Schizosaccharomyces pombe: one gene and its partners. Changing the gene in region 1 together with any one later gene gives a genetic interaction. Each region holds a gene or a part of one and is shown in the gene's direction. Other genes may lie near its edges. The genes, in order: prp1, brr2 and rna14.

What was found.
Region 2: mutations in prp1 (region 1) and brr2 are lethal when combined (synthetic lethality), as found in Schizosaccharomyces pombe (one study listed by BioGRID).
Region 3: mutations in prp1 (region 1) and rna14 impair growth when combined (synthetic growth defect), as found in Schizosaccharomyces pombe (one study listed by BioGRID).

Annotation. Positions count from the first base shown.
Region 1 is NC_003423.3:2,638,816-2,647,137, forward strand, and holds prp1 (U4/U6 x U5 tri-snRNP complex subunit Prp1), read left to right. Parts: upstream 1-3,105; 5' UTR 3,106-3,174; coding exon 3,175-5,895; 3' UTR 5,896-6,082; downstream 6,083-8,322. Other genes in the region: ubiquitin hydrolase Ubp14, read right to left, coding at 1-1,029, 1,099-1,194; ofd1 (2-oxoglutarate and Fe(2+) dioxygenase domain-containing protein 1), read right to left, coding at 6,231-7,778. UniProt on the Schizosaccharomyces pombe protein: Involved in pre-mRNA splicing. Interacts with prp6 and prp13. May also be involved in the regulation of the G0-G1/G2 transition. Required for pre-spliceosome formation, which is the first step of pre-mRNA splicing. This protein is associated with snRNP U5.
Region 2 is NC_003424.3:1,457,508-1,468,071, reverse strand, and holds brr2 (U5 snRNP complex subunit Brr2), read left to right. Parts: upstream 1-2,792; 5' UTR 2,793-2,812; coding exon 2,813-9,343; 3' UTR 9,344-9,627; downstream 9,628-10,564. Other genes in the region: Tf2-1 (retrotransposable element/transposon Tf2-type), read right to left, coding at 1-2,225; SPOM_SPAC9.02C (polyamine N-acetyltransferase), read left to right, coding at 10,335-10,433, 10,531-10,564. UniProt on the Schizosaccharomyces pombe protein: Involved in pre-mRNA splicing. May be involved in endoplasmic reticulum-associated protein degradation (ERAD) and required for growth at low and high temperatures. Required for pre-spliceosome formation, which is the first step of pre-mRNA splicing.
Region 3 is NC_003424.3:1,346,786-1,351,731, forward strand, and holds rna14 (cleavage and polyadenylation specificity factor complex subunit Rna14), read left to right. Parts: upstream 1-1,978; 5' UTR 1,979-1,994; coding exon 1,995-4,086; exon of another isoform or gene 4,087-4,129; coding exon 4,130-4,239; 3' UTR 4,240-4,446; downstream 4,447-4,946. Other genes in the region: TRAMP complex ATP-dependent RNA helicase subunit Mtr4, read right to left, coding at 1-1,657. UniProt on the Schizosaccharomyces pombe protein: Component of the cleavage factor IA (CFIA) complex, which is involved in the endonucleolytic cleavage during polyadenylation-dependent pre-mRNA 3'-end formation.

The DNA of each region.
Region 1 (8,322 bases):
AGAAGGATTATTGAGTAAACCAATTTTGCTAGGTTTAGAAAATTTCCCACTTACTAAACCATCAGCTAGTTTACCAAGTTGACATTGCAAATCTGTAGTGGGGGTTTGACAAACAGAATTATAAGTGTTGAAAAGGTTTAATTCGTGAATAGCAAATTCCTTAATAGAAAACAACGACTGCATAGTTGAGGCCAGATAACAGCTATTACCAAGATTTTTAAGACCAGTTAATCCTGGTCCAAACAATCTTTTTGAAGCGTCATCCTCTTCGGAGGCACCAAAATCCCAATTTAAATTTTGCTCTAATTGTAGTTCAGCCAAAGATTTTTCAGTTTTGTTCAACTTGGCGATATCGATGCCGAAATTTAGCATATGTGTCTTTATATTTGGGTCAATTCTTTCCTCATCGCAACTATAACAATATATATCAGCCTGACCATCAGGTGAAATGCTTTTGAGTTTAACTGCAAGCGGATGTCCTGTATCATCATAATGAGAAAGGGCGTGCCCATTCCCACCACCTCCTCCGTACTGTTTTCTTCCACAGCTTAATGCGCCACATGTTAAACACATCCATAGATTTTCTGCAAGATCACATTTTGAACATGTAGCATTGTCCAAATTTGTGACGTAAGTTTCATTTTCTGGTAAATTTATTATATGATCACAAGTAGTTAATTCATTTTCCCATGCAGTTAATTGACTTTTGTTTGATGCCTTGGTAGCATTTTTCATTGCCTCTAATGATAACGAAAGTAAGGGATCCTGTATATCTAATATTATATTACAGACCAAACACTTAGGGACATAAAAATAATCATATAAATCTTCATCACTATCTTCTCTGATCTCAAGTTTCGTAATTTTTTGGGGAGGCTCATCATTAATTTTTTGCTTAGGTTGCCTGGCAATGGTGACCACAATTGGGTGCAAAGTTTGTTCAAAATGGACAAGTGAGTGTTTTAACCCAGTTTCCCCACATCCAGATTGAAAACAGGTTAAGCATAAATCAATTCCACCTTCTTCATCCTAACGTTTGTTAACGAATTTGAACTCCTCTGAGTACATGTTTTAAAACAAGCTATTTAAAAAACATACCTGCGAATTAAAGCAACGGACGCATTCTTCACGATATATTACCTGAGAATTATCTGGGATTACAACGTTTGTCTCTGTGAGGTGCGGACACGACATGGGTTGCTATAGGTGTTTATGGATGGATGGACATGAGGTAGGCAGAATATTAACATTAGTTAATAATATACGTGCATCTTGTTGATTAACGTATCGCTACAACTAAAATACCATCATGTTTTACAGAGGGCTTAATTAATACTCCTAATCCTGCATACCAAACTCTTATTAATTCGTTTAATTATAAACTAAATTGCAGTACGTTACAGTACTGCAACGAGTAATATCATTATAACTCAATTTTCCTTGTTTGTAGAACTCCAGAGGTCCAATAATTGAACATCCTGGGGTTATTCTTTTTATTGTGTAAATAAATTAAAAACCAAGAATACTGTGCATGAACTATTACCATATTTAGACTTCCGAGTGCAGATGTATGCTGTCGAGTCTACCTATACTGCTGATTAGATATTGCTTATTAAAACAACATTTGTATCATTTCCTGTAAGCTTGCATTTTTATATTGAATATTCGAATAGAATACTCATTGCTGTATCCATGTATTAACGCAACAGTGGACAGCGTAAATAACATTGGCATATATAATGTTATCAAGCAGGAGATTTGTAGAAACAGCTTATTTACACAGTCTTAAAATAACAATAGTTAATTAATATTTCTTGAATTTTTTTTATGATAAGTGAAAATCCACACATCAGATTCTACTATACTCACTCAAGTTGTAAACAGATGGTTAATATACGCTGTATTTATTAAAATATCATTCTGAATATATCATTATCATTTACACAGGTACTCCTGAAATTTATAATATTAAAAAAAAAAAAAAAAAAAGAGAAAAAGATACAGCTAGATTAGCTGCCGTATTTTCTTTAAACCAAATTTATTTACACACTACATACATAATTCATGCCTATATTTATAAATGGAATAAAATAGAACAATTTTAATACCCAAAATTAACCTGGAAAAGCTAAGTTAAAAATGAAACGAGCCATATATATTGCCGATTATTATCATATTTTGATATCAGTGTTTTGCAGATGATTCTAATCTAACATATCTGAATCTTTTATTCTTTTTTGTGAAACTGACTTGCTTGCATCTTATGGCTGGAGTCAGTATAAATTTCTTAGAACTTATCAATCCAACGAATATACTTCTAAAAGATATTACATTAGCCTTGCACAACCTGCAGTTATAATCAAAACACTTAATCAACGTAGCTCAAGCATGTCTATTTAAGATGTTAAATATGTTTTGGTAAATTACTTTGCAAATAAAATTCTAAATACAATGGTTTGGCATTATGATAAAGAATAAGACAATTTACAAGCGAAAATAAATTTGACTGATGTGTCCAGGTACACTCATACTAGATACGATGAGCATTGATTTGAAACACCAGTATAATATACCGAGACATTAAAAGACAAACGTAGTGGCCATGCAAAAATATTGCTGCAACGTCTGTCCAGTTATCACTCGGATTCAATTAAGATTTGTTTAATTCCAATACTCACAAAGCTTGTGATGAACAATATTTTTCGTAATTTCAACCGTTCTGCATACTTTACACGACATTGATTTACAAAGTGTAAATTCATCTTCAAAGAAAAGTAGGAAAATAAAAGAAAGGAAGAAAACACTGTTCATGCATTTTTTCAAAATTGTTGCAAAAAATCTAATAAATTTATTTGGCTATCAAATGCTAAATCATAAATACTCGTGTGTTAGCGGTTCAGTGTATAACAAGTCAATCACAATGCTTATTTATATATCGTTTGATTGTAAAATCATTACATACAGTAGGAAATTTATTTTGTTTAAGAAATATTCTATCTTAAGTTTTTCTAAATTTACTTTTACCTAATGGCTCTTTTTAACTTTGTTGTAGTAAAGCTGCTAGGAGTTAATTTCTCTTCTTCGTATTGCCTACTTTTAAAATTTGAAAGCCACTACCAGATATTTATAAAGCCGAAAGGCTCGGCTTATTGCATTTAATTGCAGATAATTAGAATGGCAAACTTTTATCCAGATTTTCTGAATATGCAGCCACCTCCTAACTATGTAGCAGGTTTAGGACGTGGTGCAACAGGATTTACAACGCGTTCAGATCTTGGGCCTGCTCAAGAATTGCCATCCCAAGAATCTATAAAGGCTGCAATTGAACAAAGGAAATCAGAAATAGAGGAAGAAGAAGATATCGATCCTCGTTATCAGGATCCTGACAATGAAGTAGCGCTGTTTGCTACTGCTCCATATGATCATGAGGACGAAGAAGCTGATAAAATATATCAATCTGTAGAGGAACATTTAAGTAAAAGAAGAAAATCCCAACGTGAAAAACAAGAACAGCTACAGAAAGAAAAATATGAAAAAGAAAACCCCAAGGTTTCTTCACAATTTGCGGACTTAAAACGTGGGTTATCCACTTTGACAGATGAAGACTGGAATAATATCCCAGAACCCGGCGATCTAACTCGTAAAAAAAGGACTAAACAGCCGAGACGTGAAAGATTTTATGCAACAAGTGATTTTGTTCTTGCAAGTGCTCGCAATGAAAATCAAGCTATCTCTAATTTTGCAGTGGATACTCAAGCAGGAACAGAAACTCCAGATATGAATGGGACAAAAACAAATTTTGTTGAAATTGGAGCTGCTCGTGACAAAGTTTTAGGTATCAAGTTAGCACAAGCTTCGTCGAATTTGACTTCACCATCGACTATAGATCCGAAGGGGTATTTAACTAGTCTGAATAGTATGGTTCCAAAAAATGCCAATGACCTGGGTGATATAAGAAAAGCTAGAAAATTGTTGCAAAGTGTTATTGAAACGAATCCAAAGCACGCCTCTGGCTGGGTAGCTGCTGCGCGGCTTGAAGAGGTCGCGAATAAATTATCTCAAGCACAATCTTTAATTTTAAAAGGTTGCGAAAATTGTTCTCGCTCTGAGGATGTTTGGCTAGAAGCAATACGACTACACCCGGCTGCAGAAGCAAAAGTTATTATTGCAAATGCCGTTAAAAAATTACCAAAGTCAGTGACGTTATGGCTTGAAGCCGAAAAACTTGAAAATCAAGCTCAGCACAAAAAAAGGATTATAAAAAAAGCTTTAGAATTTAACCCGACTTCTGTAAGCTTATGGAAAGAAGCTGTAAATTTAGAAGAAGAAGTGGATAATGCAAGGATACTATTAGCTCGTGCCGTTGAATTAATACCCATGTCCATTGATTTATGGTTAGCTCTTGCTCGACTTGAAACTTATGAGAATGCTAAAAAGGTGCTCAATAAAGCCAGACAAACCATCCGTACTTCCCATGAGGTTTGGATTGCTGCTGCTCGTTTGGAAGAACAGCAAGGTAATGTATCACGGGTGGAAAAAATAATGGCTCGTGGTGTAAGTGAGTTACAGGCTACTGGTGGTATGTTACAACGCGATCAGTGGCTTTCCGAGGCTGAAAAATGCGAAACTGAAGGGGCAGTGATTACTGCACAAGCTATAATTAATACGTGCCTCGGTGTTGGATTGGATGAAGAAGATCAATTCGACACCTGGTTAGATGATGCTCAATCTTTTATAGCTCGTAAATGTATAGATTGTGCGCGTGCTGTTTTTGCTTTTTCTTTAAGAGTCTATCCAAAAAGTGAGAAACTTTGGCTGAGAGCTGTTGAACTTGAAAAGCTGTATGGTACAACAGAAAGTGTTTGTTCTATTTTAGAAAAAGCTGTAGAATCATGTCCTAAAGCCGAAATTTTATGGTTGCTTTATGCTAAAGAGCGAAAAAACGTTAATGATATTGCTGGTGCTCGGAATATTCTTGGGAGAGCTTTTGAATATAATTCTAATAGCGAAGAGATATGGCTTGCTGCTGTCAGAATTGAATTTGTGAACAATGAAAATGAACGTGCCAGAAAGCTACTTGCCCGTGCTCGTATCGAATCGGGAACTGAACGAATATGGACTAAATCCATTTCGCTTGAACGAATTTTGGACGAAAAAGATCGGGCGTTACAACTTTTGGAAAATGCACTGAAAATTTATCCCCATTATGATAAGTTGTACATGATGAAGGGTCAAATTTTTGAAGATAAAGAGCAGATTGAGCTTGCTCGAGACGCATACTTGGCTGGCACAAAAGTTTGTCCTTATTCCATACCTTTGTGGCTTTTGCTAGCCAAACTTGAAGAAAAGCAGTCCGTTATACGCGCGAGAGTTGTGTTTGATAGGGCTAAGGTTAAAAATCCTAAGAATGAATTTTTATGGCTTGAACTTATAAAAATGGAACTCCGGGCGGGGAATATTTCACAAGTTCGTGCAGCCCTTGCTAAGGCCTTGCAGGAATGCCCATCTTCGGGTTTGCTGTGGACGGAGGCTATATGGCTTGAACCTCGCGCACAGCGTAAAACTCGTGCTACAGATGCTTTAAGGAAATGTGAAGGCAATGCACATTTACTTTGCACCATCGCCAGGATGCTGTGGCTGGAAAAAAAAGCAGATAAGGCGCGTAGTTGGTTTTTAAAAGCTGTTAAGGCTGACCAAGATAACGGAGATGTGTGGTGTTGGTTTTATAAGTATAGCTTAGAGGCTGGGAACGAAGACCAACAGAAAGAAGTGCTTACAAGTTTTGAAACCGCTGATCCTCATCATGGTTATTTTTGGCCCAGTATTACTAAAGATATCAAAAATTCTCGGAAAACTCCGCAGGAACTATTACATCTTGCCATAAATGTGTTATGATTACGACAAAAATGATGACTGTAACATATTGGATCTATTATTTATCTTAAAATTAATGTTTAAATTGGTATTCGAATTTACTTTAGATATTTGTAAATTTACGGACTTTTTAATAAAAAAGAACGATTTTTAAACAGGTTCGATTGAACACTTACTTTAAATCAACAAGAATACCAGTTAAGAAAGCAGTAAAAGTGTAAACCAAAACTTTTTATGTAATACACACTATCAACACGAAAGTGGGTTTTAAAAAACACAAGGGAAAAACTTTCAAAAATAAGACAAAAAATTAGAGAAAAAAAAATTAAGTAACCCCTTTTAAGTATATGTTGCCTTTACTCAGCAACGGGATTCCATTGTGAATATATATCCCAGCGACTAGATTCGGCTTGACGCGACACATATTTGACAAATTGAAGGACACCTTCATCTCTATAAACCAAAGAAAAAACATTCCAAGCGGCTGGCAAAGAAAGCAAAATACTGTCATCTTGCTGATCACCCCTATACACAGCAGCATCTACATCAGGATCTTCATCGCCAATCATATAAATATCATATGCACCATTGTCAGTATTCGCAATGCCTGTCCCCGGAGATAAGCAAAGAGTAGCTTCTAGTAAAGCTGTGTCATTCGTAGTAGCAAGCGTAAAATCGGAACCAGGGCGGAATCGTCGACCAACTTGATGAAAGGAACGAAGGGGTAAGCCACTGACAAGTTGGATCCAACGCTGAAACGCAGGAAGGCGCTGCAAATCCATGGGCAAAATAATATCAGGGCCAAACTCTTCATGATCTAAATATAGGTACCTGTGCTTATGAGGAGGAATGGCAGTTTTCCAAGGGAATGACACTTCGGAAGAATGCATAGGAGTGGGCTGCCTTTCAGCATCGATGATTCGCTTAAGGAGAGTGTTTGCAAATTCCTGATTTAAAAACTCTACTAAAACAATAACAGAATCTTGAAAAAAGCGTTTTGATAGTTTTTCAATGCCATCAGGTGTCAGGTAAAGTGGATTAATATAATTGCTTAAAATATCAGTATCCTGTTTGGATAAAGGTTCTGGCTTAACAACTGGGTAGTATGAAAACCGGGGAAGTTCTAAGTCCATTTGTTTCATTGTTAAAGACTGCAAAGTAGAAACGGTATTGTCGCAGTAATTAGCGTCATAACCAGGTTCGCCAGGCTGAGGGTAATGAAACCAGCCGGAAATAGCCATTCGAGGTTTATCTACATAAACTTCTTCAACATCATGGAATGAATGTCCGGGCTTAACTCGGAAGAAAGAGAGTTGATTCCATTGAGGAGGAATGGAGTGACAAAAATCAGCAGCAGGAAAGGATGGTTGTAATGTAGGAAACAACCGGAGTGCACCTCCATATTCGGGTTTCCAACCTTCGTCAGGTTCTACCAAGTATAAGATATAGGAAATGCACCTGGTACCAATAACATCGTCATGATTCATCAAATGGCATCCTTTTGAGTAAACATTAACAGACAAATCTTTTTTGCTAGCCGATAAAGGGCCACAGCCGGTAATCTTTTGAACGTGAGAGCGAAATTCCTCAGAGTAAAGAGCATCACGAACTTGACGCAAATACTTAAGCATGTTTTGCTCTTTCTTGTCTAATCCATCCAAGTTTGCTAGATCACCAGTTTGCCAAACACGGTAAATATCAGTTACTTTCTCTGTAAAATGTATGTTTTCCATAAGTTCCTTACGAACATTTCGAAGAAGTGTATCATTGATCAGAGGACGAATCACAACATGATTATACGGTCCATTTTTGTGATATTCCCGTGAAAGTCTTTCTGCCTCACTGGTATCTAATGCATGAGGCGCAAATCTATCCAGCACTGTTGGTTGTTGAGTATCCCCCATCCCGTTTTTATATTTGAGATTTCACCTGAATATAATGTGCAATTAGGTAAAAATTTTAGTGGTTGGCAAACTCCCAATAGTAGCAATGAAAAGCATCCCACCCATTTTTATGGACTCGGGTCTCACCATAGGTAACATTCTTGAATTATCGTAAGACTTTCTTAGACCTCCTATTACGGAGTGACTTCGGTAACTGTGAATTTGTTTAATGATAGGGAACGCAGGTTAATTCTTCGCTTGCTTAAAACAACGTGCTATCCGTAATTCTGCCTATTGCTATATATTTGGATAGTAACGCTTCGAGCTTAAAGAACAGTATAGTCCCAAAATAAGGCTAAAAGAGTTTGAATCTTAAACAGTAATCTGTTTTCTTTTCCATTTTCTGATTAGTTAGATAACTTTCTTTTGATGCTTTTGAATCAAATAAATGAATTATTCAAGATGTTTGTGATTTAAAGTACTATTTTTTTATTCCTTAAAAAAACCGTAGCTAGTTTTATTACCACAACTCGCATTTCAGGTTTCGGAAATTAATCTCATTTCT
Region 2 (10,564 bases), on another chromosome or scaffold:
ATCTTTGCTGAATAGTATCCAACAGGATAGTATTTATCATCATCATGTTTTTGAGACAATACGGCTCCTACAGCGACATCTGAAGCATCAGTTTCCAGTAGAATCTTTTTACTGAAATCAAAGTGTCGTAGCACCGGAGGAGAAACTAAACATTGTTTAATGTTTTCTATCGCTTGGGTTTGTGTTGGTGTCCATTTCCAGCGTACATCCTTTTTCAAAAGATTATTGAGTGGATGTGTTAATTGTGATGTCTTTGGAATGAATTTCCTAAGATAATTGACAGAACCTAGAAATTGTCGTAATTCTTTACGATTCTTAGGTTGCTTCCATTGTAAGACTTTGTCTATATTTTCTTGACAAGGCGTAAATCCTTTTTCCGAAATGTGATACCCTATAAATTTTACTTGTGATTGGTGAAATTCACATTTTGCTTGATTGATAATTAAGTTCGCATTTTTCAATTTCTGTAGAACGTCTTTAACATGTTTTACATGTTCAGATTCCGATTTTGAATGAATTAAAATATCATCCATATAACATACTACATGTGATTCTTTGGCTTCACCAAGTATTGTATTGATAAAGTATTGAAAATGTGCTGGAGCTGTAGATATGCCATAAGGCATTACTAGATATTCAAAAACTCCACGAGGACAGCGAAAAGCAAGTTTATGTTCATCTCCTTTTCTTACTCGTATCAAGTGATAGGCACTTTTGAGGTCAAGTTTAGTAAAAATTGTAGAACCTTGTATTTTAGCAAGTAATTGTTCAATAAGTGGTAACGGATATATATTGGGTTTGACATACTTATTTAAAGGTTTGTAGTCAACCACCATTCTCAAGGTGCCTTCCTTTTTCGGAACGAACATTACTGGACAGGCGTTAATGGCTTTAGATTCTCGTATAATTCCACTTTTTAATCCTTGATTAATTTCATCATTCATAGCTTGCATTTTTCCCGGTGGTAGCGGGTAATTTCTGATAGGTAATCTGTAGTTTTCTTGAGTTAGTTCAACTTCAAATTCTAACCCTTTTATTGGCTTTGGTAGCTTTTCCGTATTGGTTTCTGCAGTAATGTCTTTGAATTCTTTATAGATATCTGGTAACTCAGGTTCCTTGACAATATTTGAAACTTTGTTCATTTGAGAGAGCGTGTGTTTACTGCTAGATATTTCAATGTTATTGTCATATAATGTTGTGAAGGAGATAGCAGCTGGATGCGAAAATTTCTTTACAACCAAGAATTCTGTTTTGATTGATATTCCATTTAGACTTATGTTAAGTTTTATTGTTTTGCGATTAATCTTATTTGGATAAACTCCACCATATATCACACTTTTTGACCAGGGTCTGGTAGGCAGTTTATGTGCTCGAACAGTTTCTTCTGTTATAATATTTGCTTGAGCGCCCGTATCGATTAGACAGGGTATTGAGCACTTGAAGTCTGGAAGTTCAGCTTGTAATACCATTTCGTAACGTTTCCTAGTATGATTTAGGAATTTGTTAGATGAGTATTCTATTCTCGAAACATTTGTCTTCCTCAGGTTTCTGCTATTAGTGGTGTTATTTTTCTTTGAAAGGGACTCTTTTCCTAGATTTTTATTTTGCAGTTGAAAACGCTTGTGAGTTTTACCATACGAGGCTGTTCTTTTGTCCTCTAAAAAGTCATAAATTTCACTGATTTCTGATTTCCAGTAATTTCTTTCCTTTAATTTCCTTAAGGAATATGGCAGCATCCATAATATAAACAAGCGAGTATGGAAATCATCAACATTTGCTTTTGACATGAGTTTCCTTATAAATTGAACTTTGTCCAATTGATTTCTAAAACCTTCAAATGTTTTAGTTAAACGATCACCTTTGTTGGATCCTTGTACTTTCCCTGTTTGTCTGAGTAATTCTTGCCATGTAAGACTTCCATTCTCAGAAAACATGCGTTCAGCGAATTGTTGCTCTAATTCTTCTAGGTGATTCAATGTATACTGTCTTTTAGTATGCTCATTTGGGAATAATGAAGGGTATTCAGTAAAGTGTTGATCAAGTTTTGAAATGTAACTTTCAACATCCTTATTAGGATCGAATTTCCCTATCTCTGGTACATGCTTCGATAATATTTTTGCAAAAAGGTTTATTAAATGTTCGTCTGATGTTTGAATTCCATCCAAATTCTCTGGTCTCCATCGTTTTGCTCTTGCTTTCATATAACGATAATTTGCGTAGGACATTGTATATGTTTCCCTTTGGGAGATTTCAAAAGGGATAACAGTCCTTCCAAAGTTCTTTCTCCTTTGAACCCAGAAGGAGAGAAATATATATATTTATGATATATATTTATTCAATAATTCCTTTTTCCTAAAAGGAGTTAATTGTAGATCACAAGAGTTCAGTTATTGTAAGCTACGCAGTTTGGTATCTGATTTAAGGATACGTAGAACTGCGGTGAGCTTTCCTTGTGATCTATTATATTACAATACACAGGTTGTATAAGTAGCAACTGAGTATAGGTATTGTATTAACTGGGTTATAATGTTACCTATCACTAATATAGCTCATAACTGAACTGAGGAACGAGGTTCAGCAGTAGCTCTATTTATAGTATTCAGATAATATTGATCTTAATAGATTATCATTAAGATCAATCTCCATATCGTATCATACATGGTACGATATATAATTAGAACATGTGACATATAGTGATACTCAACGTAGTGTATTATAGCGTAGTGTAGTATTGCTGACAGAAATGAACACTTCTAATACCTCGAAGTAGACGAAAATTGAAAATTCAGTTTATCCTCCGCCACTCACAATCATGTCGAGTGCACATCCTAAAGGGGACTCGAAAGAGCCTCCCAAACATGGAAATAGTAAGGAGAAGCCAAACTATGGTCAATCACAGTATAGTTATTCTGCAATGTCAAATTTGGTTACGCAGGCTGATCGAAGATTTGTGTCACGACGTGATGCTGAACCTACAGGCGAACCGGAATCTCTGGTAAATCGAGTTAGTATTGCAGATATGGGTTCTAGAGCGAGAATTGAAAAACCTAGTACCCTTCCTCTCGAATTGACGCAGGAAGTTCAGGAGGTCCGGTTACCTCGTAAAGATGCAGAATCCTTAGAAATTGGTATACGGCAACCTGAACGCGAAAAGCGCTCTTCAGCGATACTTAAATATTTTGATTCTTTTGAAATTTTGAAATATAATCCTCTAACCGACGAGACCCGAGAAGTTTATGATTATATCTTGAGTTTCATTCAACAATACCTTGGCGATCAGTCTCCTGAAATCCTCCGTTCTGCTGCTGATTTGATTATTGAACTTCTTAAGGATAGTTCTTTAGATGAACAAGGTCGTAAAAAGCAAATAGAGGAGGTTTTGAGTACTGAACTCCCACAGGATCGGTTTTCACAGCTCGTTAACTTGGGAAATCGCTTAACAGATTATACAGTTGAGCAAGAAGAAGAGTTAAATGAAGAAGGCGTTAATGAATCTGGCGTACCAGTATTGTTCAATGAAGCCGATGAAGAGGAAGAAGCTGTTGAGGCAATGGAAGAGGATGAAGTGGCAGAAGATGAAGACGTCGTCTTAGAAACTTCCATATCTCAAGAAGAAGAGAAAAAGAATATTGAAAATCCGGATACAGAGGTTACATTTATTTCTGCTGATACCAAAAAAGTTACCGAAATACCCACTGTTCATCCTCGTGAAATCGATGCATTTTGGCTGCAACGAGAAATAGCAAAATATTTTGCTGACGCCGTCGTTTGTCAGGAAAAAACAAATCAAGCGTTTGAGGCACTTTCGGCTGATTACGATCTCGGTGAATTGGAAAATGAATTGATGAGTATTTTTGATTATGAACATTTCTATCTTGTTCAACTTTTGACTAAGAATCGTTGGACAATAGTTTCGTGTACAATGTTAAAACGCGCCGCTACTGATGAAGAACGCTTAGGTGTGGAAGAGCAAATTCGTGCTGCTGGTCGGTCTTGGATTCTCGAAGCTCTACGCCCTGGTGCTATCACTATACCTGATGACGGTTTAAATGAATTAAATAATAATGTTGTTGAGAAAGCTGAACCTGCGCCCGTTTCTGAAATTCCACTTTCGAAAACTTTGACTTCCCATAAAATTGTACCTAAGCACCAAGTTGATCTAGAAAATTATGTGTTTACTGAGGGATCACGTCTCATGTCTAATAAAGCTGTCAAGCTACCTGAAGGCTCGTTTCGTAGGACTGGTAAAGGGTATGAAGAAATACATGTTCCTGCCCCCAACAAAGCCGTACTTGGCGCTGACGAGCGTCTTGTAAAAATCAAGGAACTGCCTGAATGGTCTCATCAAGCTTTTCTTAATACTCAATCTTTAAACCGAATCCAAAGCCATCTTTATCCTATCGCTTTTGGTACTGACGAAAACATCCTTTTATGCGCTCCTACTGGTGCTGGAAAAACAAATGTAGCAATGCTATGTATCCTTAACGAATTACAAAAACATTTACGTGAAGATCTTAGCTTTAACTTACAAAATTTTAAAATTGTTTACATTGCTCCCTTGAAGGCGTTGGTACAAGAGATGGTTAATAATTTCTCAAAGAGGCTTACTCCATACAATATTCGAGTCGCAGAGTTAACTGGTGATAGTCAATTGACTAAACAACAAATTAGTGAAACTCAAATAATTGTAACCACACCCGAGAAGTGGGATATTATAACTCGAAAAGCTAATGATTTATCTTATGTCAATCTAGTCCGTTTAGTTATTATTGATGAGGTTCATTTGCTTCATGATGAACGAGGTCCTGTATTAGAATCTATAGTTGCTCGTATATTTCGCCATCAGGAGGAAACTCTTGAACAAGTTCGATTAGTAGGTTTGTCTGCTACACTTCCTAATTATACCGATGTTGCCAGTTTTTTACATGTCGACCCTAAAAAAGGGCTTTTTTACTTCGATTCGACATATCGTCCATGCCCTTTAAAGCAAGAATTTATAGGCATTACAGAAAAAACACCGTTTAAACGAATGCAGACGACTAATGAAGCTTGTTATGAAAAAGTTATGCAACACGCTGGCAAAAACCAGGTCCTCATATTTGTACATTCGCGCAAAGAAACCGCTAAAACCGCTCGTTTTATAAGAGATAAGGCACTAGAGGAAGAGACCATCGGTCATTTGTTACGCTCTGATGCCGCATCCCGTGAAATTCTTCGGGCTGAAGCCGACTCTACCAGTGATGAAAATTTGAAAGATTTGCTCCCATATGGGTTTGCCATACATCATGCTGGTATGCGACGAGAGGATCGCCAAACGTCTGAAGACCTTTTTGCCGATGGTACTATACAGGTACTAGTGAGTACGGCAACTCTGGCTTGGGGCGTAAACTTACCAGCGCACACAGTGATCATCAAAGGGACCCAAGTTTATTCTCCTGAAAAGGGTATCTGGACAGAACTCTCTCCTCAGGATGTTTTGCAAATGCTTGGCAGAGCTGGTCGCCCACAATTCGACACATATGGTGAAGGAATTATCATTACCGCCCACTCTGAGTTACAGTATTATCTATCACTAATGAATCAGCAGCTTCCAATTGAGTCTCAATTTATGCGCCGTCTAGCTGATTGTTTAAATGCCGAAGTATCGTTAGGAACTGTTCGTAGTATCGAAGATGGCGTAGACTGGCTTGGTTATACATACCTCTATGTTCGAATGTTACGATCCCCTGCCCTATATAGCGTCGGCCCAGAGTATGATGATGACAAATATCTTGTTCAAAAAAGAGCTGACTTACTTCATTCAGCTGCCATTTTATTAGAAAAATGCAAGTTACTAGTGTATAATCGTCAGAGTGGTACGTTGACCGCTACGGAATTGGGAAAAGTTGCTGCAAGTTATTACGTTACTCATAACTCGATGGCCATATATAATCGTCTTTTAATGCAGACAACATCCTTTATCGAGTTATTTCGAGTCTTCAGTTTTTCTGATGAATTTAAGCACATTCCTGTCCGTGAAGAAGAGAAAGTTGAACTCGCGAAGTTGCTGGAAAGAGTACCAATTCCTATTAGGGAAAGATTAGATGAACCTGCTGCCAAGATTAATGCCCTTCTCCAATCATATATATCAAGACAACGCCTGGATGGATTTGCACTTGTGGCAGACATGGTATACGTTACGCAATCAGCGGGTAGAATTATGCGTGCAATATTCGAGATATCATTGAGACGTGGTTGGTCATCTGTTGCAACACTCTCTCTTGATACATGCAAAATGATTGAGAAAAGGCTTTGGCCAACTATGAGCCCCCTTCGACAGTTTCCCAATTGTCCTTCTGAAGTAATACGCCGCGTTGAGAAAAAGGAATTTCCTTGGCAGCGATACTTTGATCTGGACCCTGCTGAATTAGGAGAATTAGTAGGGGTGCCAAAAGAAGGGAGGCGTGTGTACAACATGGTTCAGTCTTTTCCAAGGTTGAGCGTCGAAGCACATGTTCAACCTATCACAAGATCGCTTGTGCGGGTCGAACTTGTTATAAATTCTCAGTTCAACTGGGATGATCATTTAAGCGGCACTTCTGAAGCTTTTTGGATCCTTGTAGAAGACGTGGACGGGGACCGATTGCTACATTATGAACAATTTTTCCTTCTTAAAAAATACAAAGATGATGAGCATATTGTAAATTTTACAGTACCTTTGTTAGAACCTCTTCCTCCTTGTTACTTTATAAAGATAGTTTCAGATCGATGGTTACACTCGATAACTAAGGTACCTCTTTCATTTCAGCGCCTGATAATGCCAGAAAAATTTCCTGCGCCAACACCTCTTCTTGATCTTCAGAACGCCCCGGTCTCTAGTCTTAATAACCCAAGCTTCATTTCCCTCTACCCTAATTTTAAATTTTTTAACAAGATTCAAACACAGGTGTTTAACTCTGTTTATAAAACCAACGATAGTGTTTTTATTGGTGCTCCCAATGGAAGTGGAAAGACTGTTTGTGCCGAACTTGCTTTGTTACATCATTGGAGTCAAGAAGATTATGGTACTGCAGTTTACATTGCCCCAATTCAGGAAATCGTTGATCGTCGATATGAAGAATGGTATGGCAAGTTTTCTGACCTCGGTGATGGGAAAGTTTTGGTAAAATTGACGGGTGAGCGTTCACAAGACTTGAAGCTGATACAAGTTGCTGACTTGATATTTTGCACGCCATCGCAATGGGACTCATTGTCGAAGAGATGGAGAAGTATGCGAAGCATTCAGAAAGTTGATTTTTATATATGTGATGAATTACAATTGCTTGGTGGATTTTATGGTCCATTATACGAAATAGTGATCTCACGGATACGGTACATGGCAGTACAATTAGAAAAAAATATCCGAGTGGTTGGCCTTTCAGTATCTGTTGCTAATGCTCGAGATTTGGGTGAGTGGCTTGGGACTAGTCCACAATGCATATTTAATTTTAGTCCTAAAGACAGGCCTAATCCTCTTACTATTCATTTGCAATCATTCAGTATTACTCATTTCCCTTCCCTTATGTTGGCTATGAGCAAGCCTATATATCGCAGCTTGAAGAACTTTATTTCTCAGAGAAAGTCTACTATTGTATTTACTCCTGACAGGAAAGTAGCGAAACAATTAGCTTTTGATTTAGTTACATTCAGTATGGCTGATGAAGATGAGTATTTGTTTTCGTTAATGGAGAATGAAGCTTTCAATAAAGTTGAAGATGCTGCCTTGCAGCAATCATTGAAGCATGGTATTGCTTATATTAGTGAAATCACATCGTCCAATGATCAGAATATTGTACAATATCTTTACCGTCATGGACTTATCAAGGTTTTGATAGCTTCTCGCGATGTTATTTATTCCTTAAAAGCAAAATCAAACGCTGTTATTGTGATGGGTACTCAATACTATGATGGCAAAGAACATCGTTATATTGATTATCCTATAAGTGAGTTATTACAAATGCTCGGGTTTACTGCTAGCATTGGATCAAGTGAGCTTAGCCAGGTTATTCTTATGACTGTCACTACTAAGAAGGAATATTACAAGAAATTTTTAAATGAGCCATTACCCATGGAAAGCCATCTTCAAGTTTGGCTGCACGATGCTTTCGTGTCAGAAATATCTACGCAAACCATTGAAAGCAAACAAGATGCTGTAGATTGGCTTACATGGTCGTATATGTACCGGAGACTAGTTGCCAATCCTGCCTATTATGGTCTTCAAGATATCACTCATGAGTCGGTTTCTGAATTCCTTTCGGATCTTGTAGAAACAACCATGAATGATTTGAGTGAGGCACGCTTAATCACTGTAGACGATGAGGATGATAGTTGTGTCGCATTAAATTTAGCAATGATAGCTTCTCATTACGGAATTACATACATTACTATGCAAACGTTTGCTTTGAGCTTGTCAGAGCGCACGAAGATGAAGGGATTACTAGAAATTGTTACATCAGCAGCAGAATATGAGCAACTCCCAATTCGAAAGTATGAAGATATTGTGCTGGAGCGAATTCATTCCCGCCTGCCTGTTCGCTTAAGTAATCCTAACTATGAAGATCCTCATACGAAATCATTTATTCTTCTTGCAGCTCATTTTTCTAGATTTGAATTGCCTCCTGGTTTAGTTATAGATCAGAAATTCATTTTGACTAGGGTACATAATCTTCTGGGCGCTTGTGTTGATACATTGTCTTCCGAAGGCCATTTAATAGCTTGTATTAGACCAATGGAGATGTCGCAAATGGTTACGCAAGCTTTATGGGATCGTGATAGTCCTTTAAAACAGATACCCTATTTCGACGACGCTTTAATCGAACGATGCAATAAAGAGGGTGTTCATGATGTCTTTGATATTATCGATTTGGATGACGAAAAACGTACTGAATTGTTACATATGGATAATGCACATCTTGCCAAATGCGCAGAGTTTATCAATAAATATCCGGATATTGACATTGATTTTGAAATAGAAGACTCTGAAGATGTTCACGCTAATTCACCCTCTGTGCTTATTGTTCAACTAACTCGAGAACTGGAAGAGGATGAAGAAGTTGATACGACTGTCATTGCTCCTTACTTTCCAGCTCAAAAAACTGAACATTGGTGGCTTGTAATTTCGGATGACAAAACCCTCTTGGCAATTAAGAAGATTACCTTAGGTAGGTCCTTGACTACCAAGATGGAATTTGTGCCCCCGGCAATGGGAACTTTAAAATATAAACTGAGCTGCTTTAGCGATTCTTATATGGGTGTGGATTATGAAAAAGAATTTGAATGCAACGTTTTGGAACCTTTGGACACAGAAATGGAAGACGGGGAATAAGGTATTGTGCAAAATATGGATAATTCCCAAATTAAAAATTTTGACTTGAGGGTCAAAAGAACTGTTAAATAATTATTTTTTGAATTCATTGTATATTTATTTGCTAATTAATGGATGGTTTGATTCTTTAGCTTTTCTTTTTCAGCAAATTTATTGATGCCATCAGCGTGTGCAAATTCTTAACAACCAAACATGCATTACTAGGTATGCAATGATTTCATATGAATACATGAACATATGTATATATTTATAATTAATGAAGTCAAATTTTGATTTTCAAATAATGCGAAGATAGATTTTCATGTTCACTTAGGAGAATTGTTTCAGTGATGCTATTGAAAGGAGAGGTGTAGCGAGACCTGTGGTAATGTAGATAGTTAAAGTAATTTTCAAATGTTTTAACCTGAAATTCAAAAAATATGCAACGTTTATTACCCAAGACTGAAGAAGCGAAGAGTTAGATGTTAAACTACTACAATACGCTGATAAAAATCAAGCAACACGAGTTCTTATCCTGCGCTTCTATTAAAAATATTAAATATCGTATTTACTACACTTATATACATATTGATATCATTTTGTTTTTGTTCATAAACCACCCAATGTAGATTCAACAATTATCGCTAGATATATATATATATTTATAAGCGAACAGAAGCTATAAAATTATTAAGAGAATACAATGATTAGTTATTCTGTGCACATAAATGTGGAACCACTAGCACTAAAGTGTTGAGATTTACAAGGAGGACTACTGAAGTGCGAAGTAACACCGTTTATATCGTCAAAATATAATGTTGAATTTACTATATTTAATCTTACCTAGCCAGTACTTACTAATTATAAGGGAAAAACTCGACGTGAATTGTTTGCTTGCTTATTCGCGATTACTAGATTTAGAAGAGAATTTTCCCCCTTCAAATTGCAGAACAGTTTAAGAGGTCGTTTTCTGAACGCGCGTATTTGATTGCTTATTTACCAAGAAAGTGTAATGGTCAACATTCGTAATATCGAGAGATCCGAAGTTGAAGAGGTTTCAAAATTGGAAGCCATTTGCTTTCCTGAAGCAGAGAGGGCTTCTTTTGCTAGGGTAAGTGGATTCTGAGACATTCTCATTGTTAGTTATCTTGTCAATGATTTGTCTACGCTTGTTTTTCGAATAGCCAGATTAACTAAACGCTCAATAGATTAAGGATCGGGTAAAACGTGCTCCGGAGATTC
Region 3 (4,946 bases), on another chromosome or scaffold:
ATGTTTCTGTAGCGAACAAAACCTTTAAAAGGCCTTCCTGAAACAAAATCTCGATGACTTCTTTCAAAATTGGCAATAAACCAGAATGATGAATACCAATACCACGTCTAAGAAGAGGTAAAATATGCTCTATTTGTGGTAACTCTCTATCCTTCTCCGATAATTGGTTCACTGCATTATTAAAAATCGTGGTGACCAAATCTCGCTCAGTTTGGTCGTTCATGTCTAACTTTGACATTTGCAAGGCCAAAGCTTCACATTCTCTTTTGCTAAAGCTAAATACAATAACCGGGTTATAATTTTTCACCATAATCATTTTTACGATTTTGTAAATATCAGAAGGTCCTTTGACACCGCCTTTTCCGGTCTTTCCTTTCTTTGCATTACCTTTAGTAGCCATAGCGGCAGGGTCATCGCCTTGTTTTTCCATCAATGCACTCATTGCTCTTTGAAAGTTTTCTTCTCGGAAATTACTTTTCTCATCAACCACTAAATGAATGCCATCGCTACCGCTAGGGAATAGGTAATGTTGAAGAGGCGTAGGTCGAAAATCTGTATAAACTACATGACAAGGCTGACGATGAATTTTTGTAATCCATTCAGCAAATTGCATAGCATTTGGAATTGTAGCAGACAGGAAGACAAAATGTGATTTGTCGGGTAATAAGATAATGGTCTCTTCCCAAACAACACCGCGCTCTTTGTCACGCATGTAGTGAATCTCATCAAAAATAACCCACGCAACTTCACGCATAACCTCTGAACCACGATACAACATTGAACGGAGAATTTCAGTGGTCATAACCAAACAAGTAGCATCTGGATTAATAGTAACATCACCAGTCATAAGACCGACATCTCCAAATTCAGCAAGAAGTTCTCGATACTTTTGATTACTTAAAGCTTTGATAGGACTTGTATAAATAACTCTCTGTTTATCACGAAGCGATTGAGCAACTGCATATTCTGCAACAACAGTTTTACCAGCAGATGTATGAGCACTGACCAAAACTGATTCTTGACGCTCAATACAGGCAATAGACACTGCTTGAAAAGGATCCAAAGTGAAGGGATATGTGCGCGCAGGGGGTATGGGACTTTTATGTTTAGAGATAGGTACATAATCATAATTTGGAGGAATAGAGACTTGATGACGGACCTGATGACGAAGTTCTACAACTTCTTCAGTAGATGATTTAGCTTCGGTCATCCCAACCTTCCCAGCAACTTGTAATGATGCTTCCTGCTCAAAAGAATCAGCTACCGTAGCCTCAGGTATAGTATCGCCTTCGTTTTTTATAGATACTTCATTGGAAATATCATCAGCAGCAATGTCTCCTATTTTTGGCTTATGTTTGGTATCAGCGACTGCAGAATTGTTAATATGAATTCCGTTAACATCATTGTTAGGAATAAGGTCTTGGTTATCCTTCAGATTTTCGATTTTAGCTCTTTTAGTTGCAGATTCTTGTTCCCCTACTGAAGACTCCAACTTTTTTGTACCTTGCTCTTGGTTAGAGGCATTTTTATCTGTTAAAGTACGCTTTATTTTTTGTGAATTTTGTGAATTTTGTGAATTTTTAGATTCCTCCTTTAAGCTTTTTGGAACTTTACCTTCAAAGACTCCAAAAGCATCATCTAACTCACCACCAAACATCACAATTAAAAAGATTTCTTAAACTGCAATGTGGAGTTGGTGTTGGCAAAAATCTGTTTTTTCTCTGTTTACGAAAGATGTATTAGCATTTGTTAAATAAATTATACTACTTGATTCACTAAGTTACCTAAAGTATTGAAGCGTGAGCCTCACAAAATAGAATTAAGCACTGTGAAGTTTCTCCCAAATGTAGACAAATTTCCTTTATAACCAGCATTATGAAGCTTGCAAGTTGATTAAAAGTATTGAATGTTACCTCAATGTTACTGAAGTAACAATTTCTGTATGTATCAAATGCGAGAAAGCTGTGTGAATTCTACCAGCGAATACTTAAATTATGAATTCTGATGACAATGTCGAAGCCGATGCTAGCTCGAATATTATAAAAGATTCTCCAAAAATTAAAGAACAAGAAAATACCTCAACAGTTAATGAGAGTGATGTATTAGCAACTTCGACGACTGCCAGTAGTGGTGTAAAACGAAAACGTCTCCCAAATGACCTTGTAGGACAATTACGGGATAAAATACAAGAGAACCCTAACGATATTTCTTCTTGGTATGCACTGGTAGAAGAGTATGGATCTAAGGGGAAGCACGAAGAGTTAAGAGAAACTTATGAACAAATGTTGCGACCTTTTCCTTACGTTCCACGAGTTTGGGTTGATTACATTAGTTCTGAGCTTGCCTTTAACGATTTCCATGCCGTTGAATTGTTATTTAGTCGATGCCTTGTCAAGGTTTTATCGGTTGATTTATGGACGTTGTACTTAAGTTACATTCGTCGAATAAATCCAGATGGTGAAGGACAATCTCGTTCTACAATTACTCAGGCTTATGAGTTTGTAATAAATACTATTGGTGTTGACATACTCAGTGGCCCTATATGGTCTGAGTTTGTGGATTTTTTACGTTCTGGCCCAGCTAATTCAACATGGGAGCAACAACAAAAACTAGATCATGTTCGTCGAATTTATCAAAGAGCTATCACTACACCTATCCATAATATTGAAAAACTTTGGCGTGATTATGATGCATTCGAAAATAGTGTAAACAGAGCAACGGCCAGAAAATTTGTAGCTGAGAAGTCTCCTGTTTATATGGCGGCGCGGGCAGCAATGAGGGAACTTTCAAACCTTACAGAAGGACTCAGAGTTTACGATTTTACCTTTGAACGTAAGTATACAAAAGTTGAAAGAATAGCGTATTCCCGTTGGATGAACTGGATTAAATGGGAACAAAGTGATCCATTAGATTTACAACATGGCACGATGTTACAGAATCGAATTGCTTATGCCTTTGAGCAAGCGATGTTGTATGTTCCCCTTTGTCCGCAGATATGGCTCGATGGATTTTCTTACTTTTTGAGCATTTCGGATGAACAGCGTGCTCTTCAAACTATTCGTCGCGGAATGCGTTATTGTCCTTCAAATTTTGTTTTACACGTTCGCTACGCGGAACATGAAGAAGCGAATAACCGTACATCTGAAATCCGCTCTACCTACGAATCTTTAATTGCAGCTTTAGCTCGGGAAATTAGTCAATTGGACTCCAAAGCATCGTCGTCCTCTGAAAGCTCAACAGATGGAAACCCTCAAGAAAAAAAATTACCTGAACACCTAGTAAAGCGTAAAAGTAGACTTGTTCGTCAATACAGTCTTGCTTGGTGTTGTTTAATAAATGCTATTAGGAGGACTGAAGGCGTGAAAGCAGCTAGAGCTATATTTACCAAAGCTCGAAAAGCACCATATCAGTCTCATGAGATATATATAGCTAGCGCGATGATGGAACATCATTGTTCGAGGGATCCGGTTATTGCCTCTCGAATTTTTGAGTTGGGTATGAGACATTTTGGAGATGTTCCAGCCTATGTTTATAAATATTTGTCATACTTAATAGCTATAAACGATGAAACTAATGCTCGCGCGCTATTTGAGAAAGCCATCCCGAGGATTGCAGCTGATGAAGCTAAACCCATATATCAAAAATGGCTTGACTATGAAAGTAATTATGGCGATTTGAATGCAGCTATAGCACTTAGTCAAAGAATGGCTGTTGTTTACCCTCAAGAGTCCACACAAGCCATATTTTTATCGCGCTATGGCTTGAAGGATGATGCTGAGGAAGAAGAACGGGAAACAAAAGAAGCGGAAAAAATTAGAGAACTATCTGTTCGCTTAAATGGAGGAAATGGATTCCCGGGCCATGTTCATAACAACAGGGAAGATGATGAAGTTTCTATAGCCTCTACCTCTTCTAAAAGTAACGTCGAAATGGAAGATACTCGTTTACTTCCTGCGTCTTTGGAATTAGCAAACACTCAAGGAGCATCGAATCCACCTACTTCAGCACTTCCAACTGTTCCGGTACCGTTACCATCTATAATAACCGAATTTTTGGATGAACTCCCAGCTCCTCAAGTAATAACTGGTATGTTGCATAATTGCGCGTTTATTGACTAACTATCTTTTAGGTCCTCGAATCCAACCAACAAAACTTATCGATCATATTATTAAATCAGATATCCCTTTCATTCGTTTACGAAATGCAAATGCACATTTGAAGCGTGCCAGATTTAATTAAAAATTTAGACTATTGCAAAGAAATTTTCTGCACTCTTTCCATTTTTGGTGGTGAGCAAAGTGAACTAATAATGAAATAAAATTAAGTTTTAGGAATGATCGATGTTAAATTACAGCGCCAAACGATATAGGTATATTTTAAAGACGAGTTTATTGTATTACTCAATTTTATCTTTTTTTTAATATATTAATCGTTACAAGAGCAAAGCAATGTGAATTTAGATTTGAGGTTTTGGGTCAAGTATGTAAAATGATTTCGCAAATCATAAAATTCACTTTGGTATTGAATATAATTAGAAACTTTAATCGACGCTGAACCCTTACTTTAAAATTTCCTTTTTTGCTAATTATTCTTAATTTGTGAGGAATGAAGTTTGAGCTTCATCGCATTTCGCATTTAAATATGGTAACCGTTCTTATATTAAACTTAACCGTATTTAAAGTGGTGCATGAAGCATAACTACAGTAAAATTATGTTAAATCAATTTTTAAATTACAGTTGACTCGACACAGAGTACAAAGTTAACTATCCGCTTATTATCTTAAATTTTCTATTTGAAGCTTGTAAATTATATGAAAAGTATTTATTGGGAACTACCCATCGATAACATGATGTTTTCCGTAATTTAATATAAGCAATTATGTGATAATACTAATTTTCTTTTCTTTTTTGTAATGTATTCGACCGCAACTTCATGTTCTTAAATT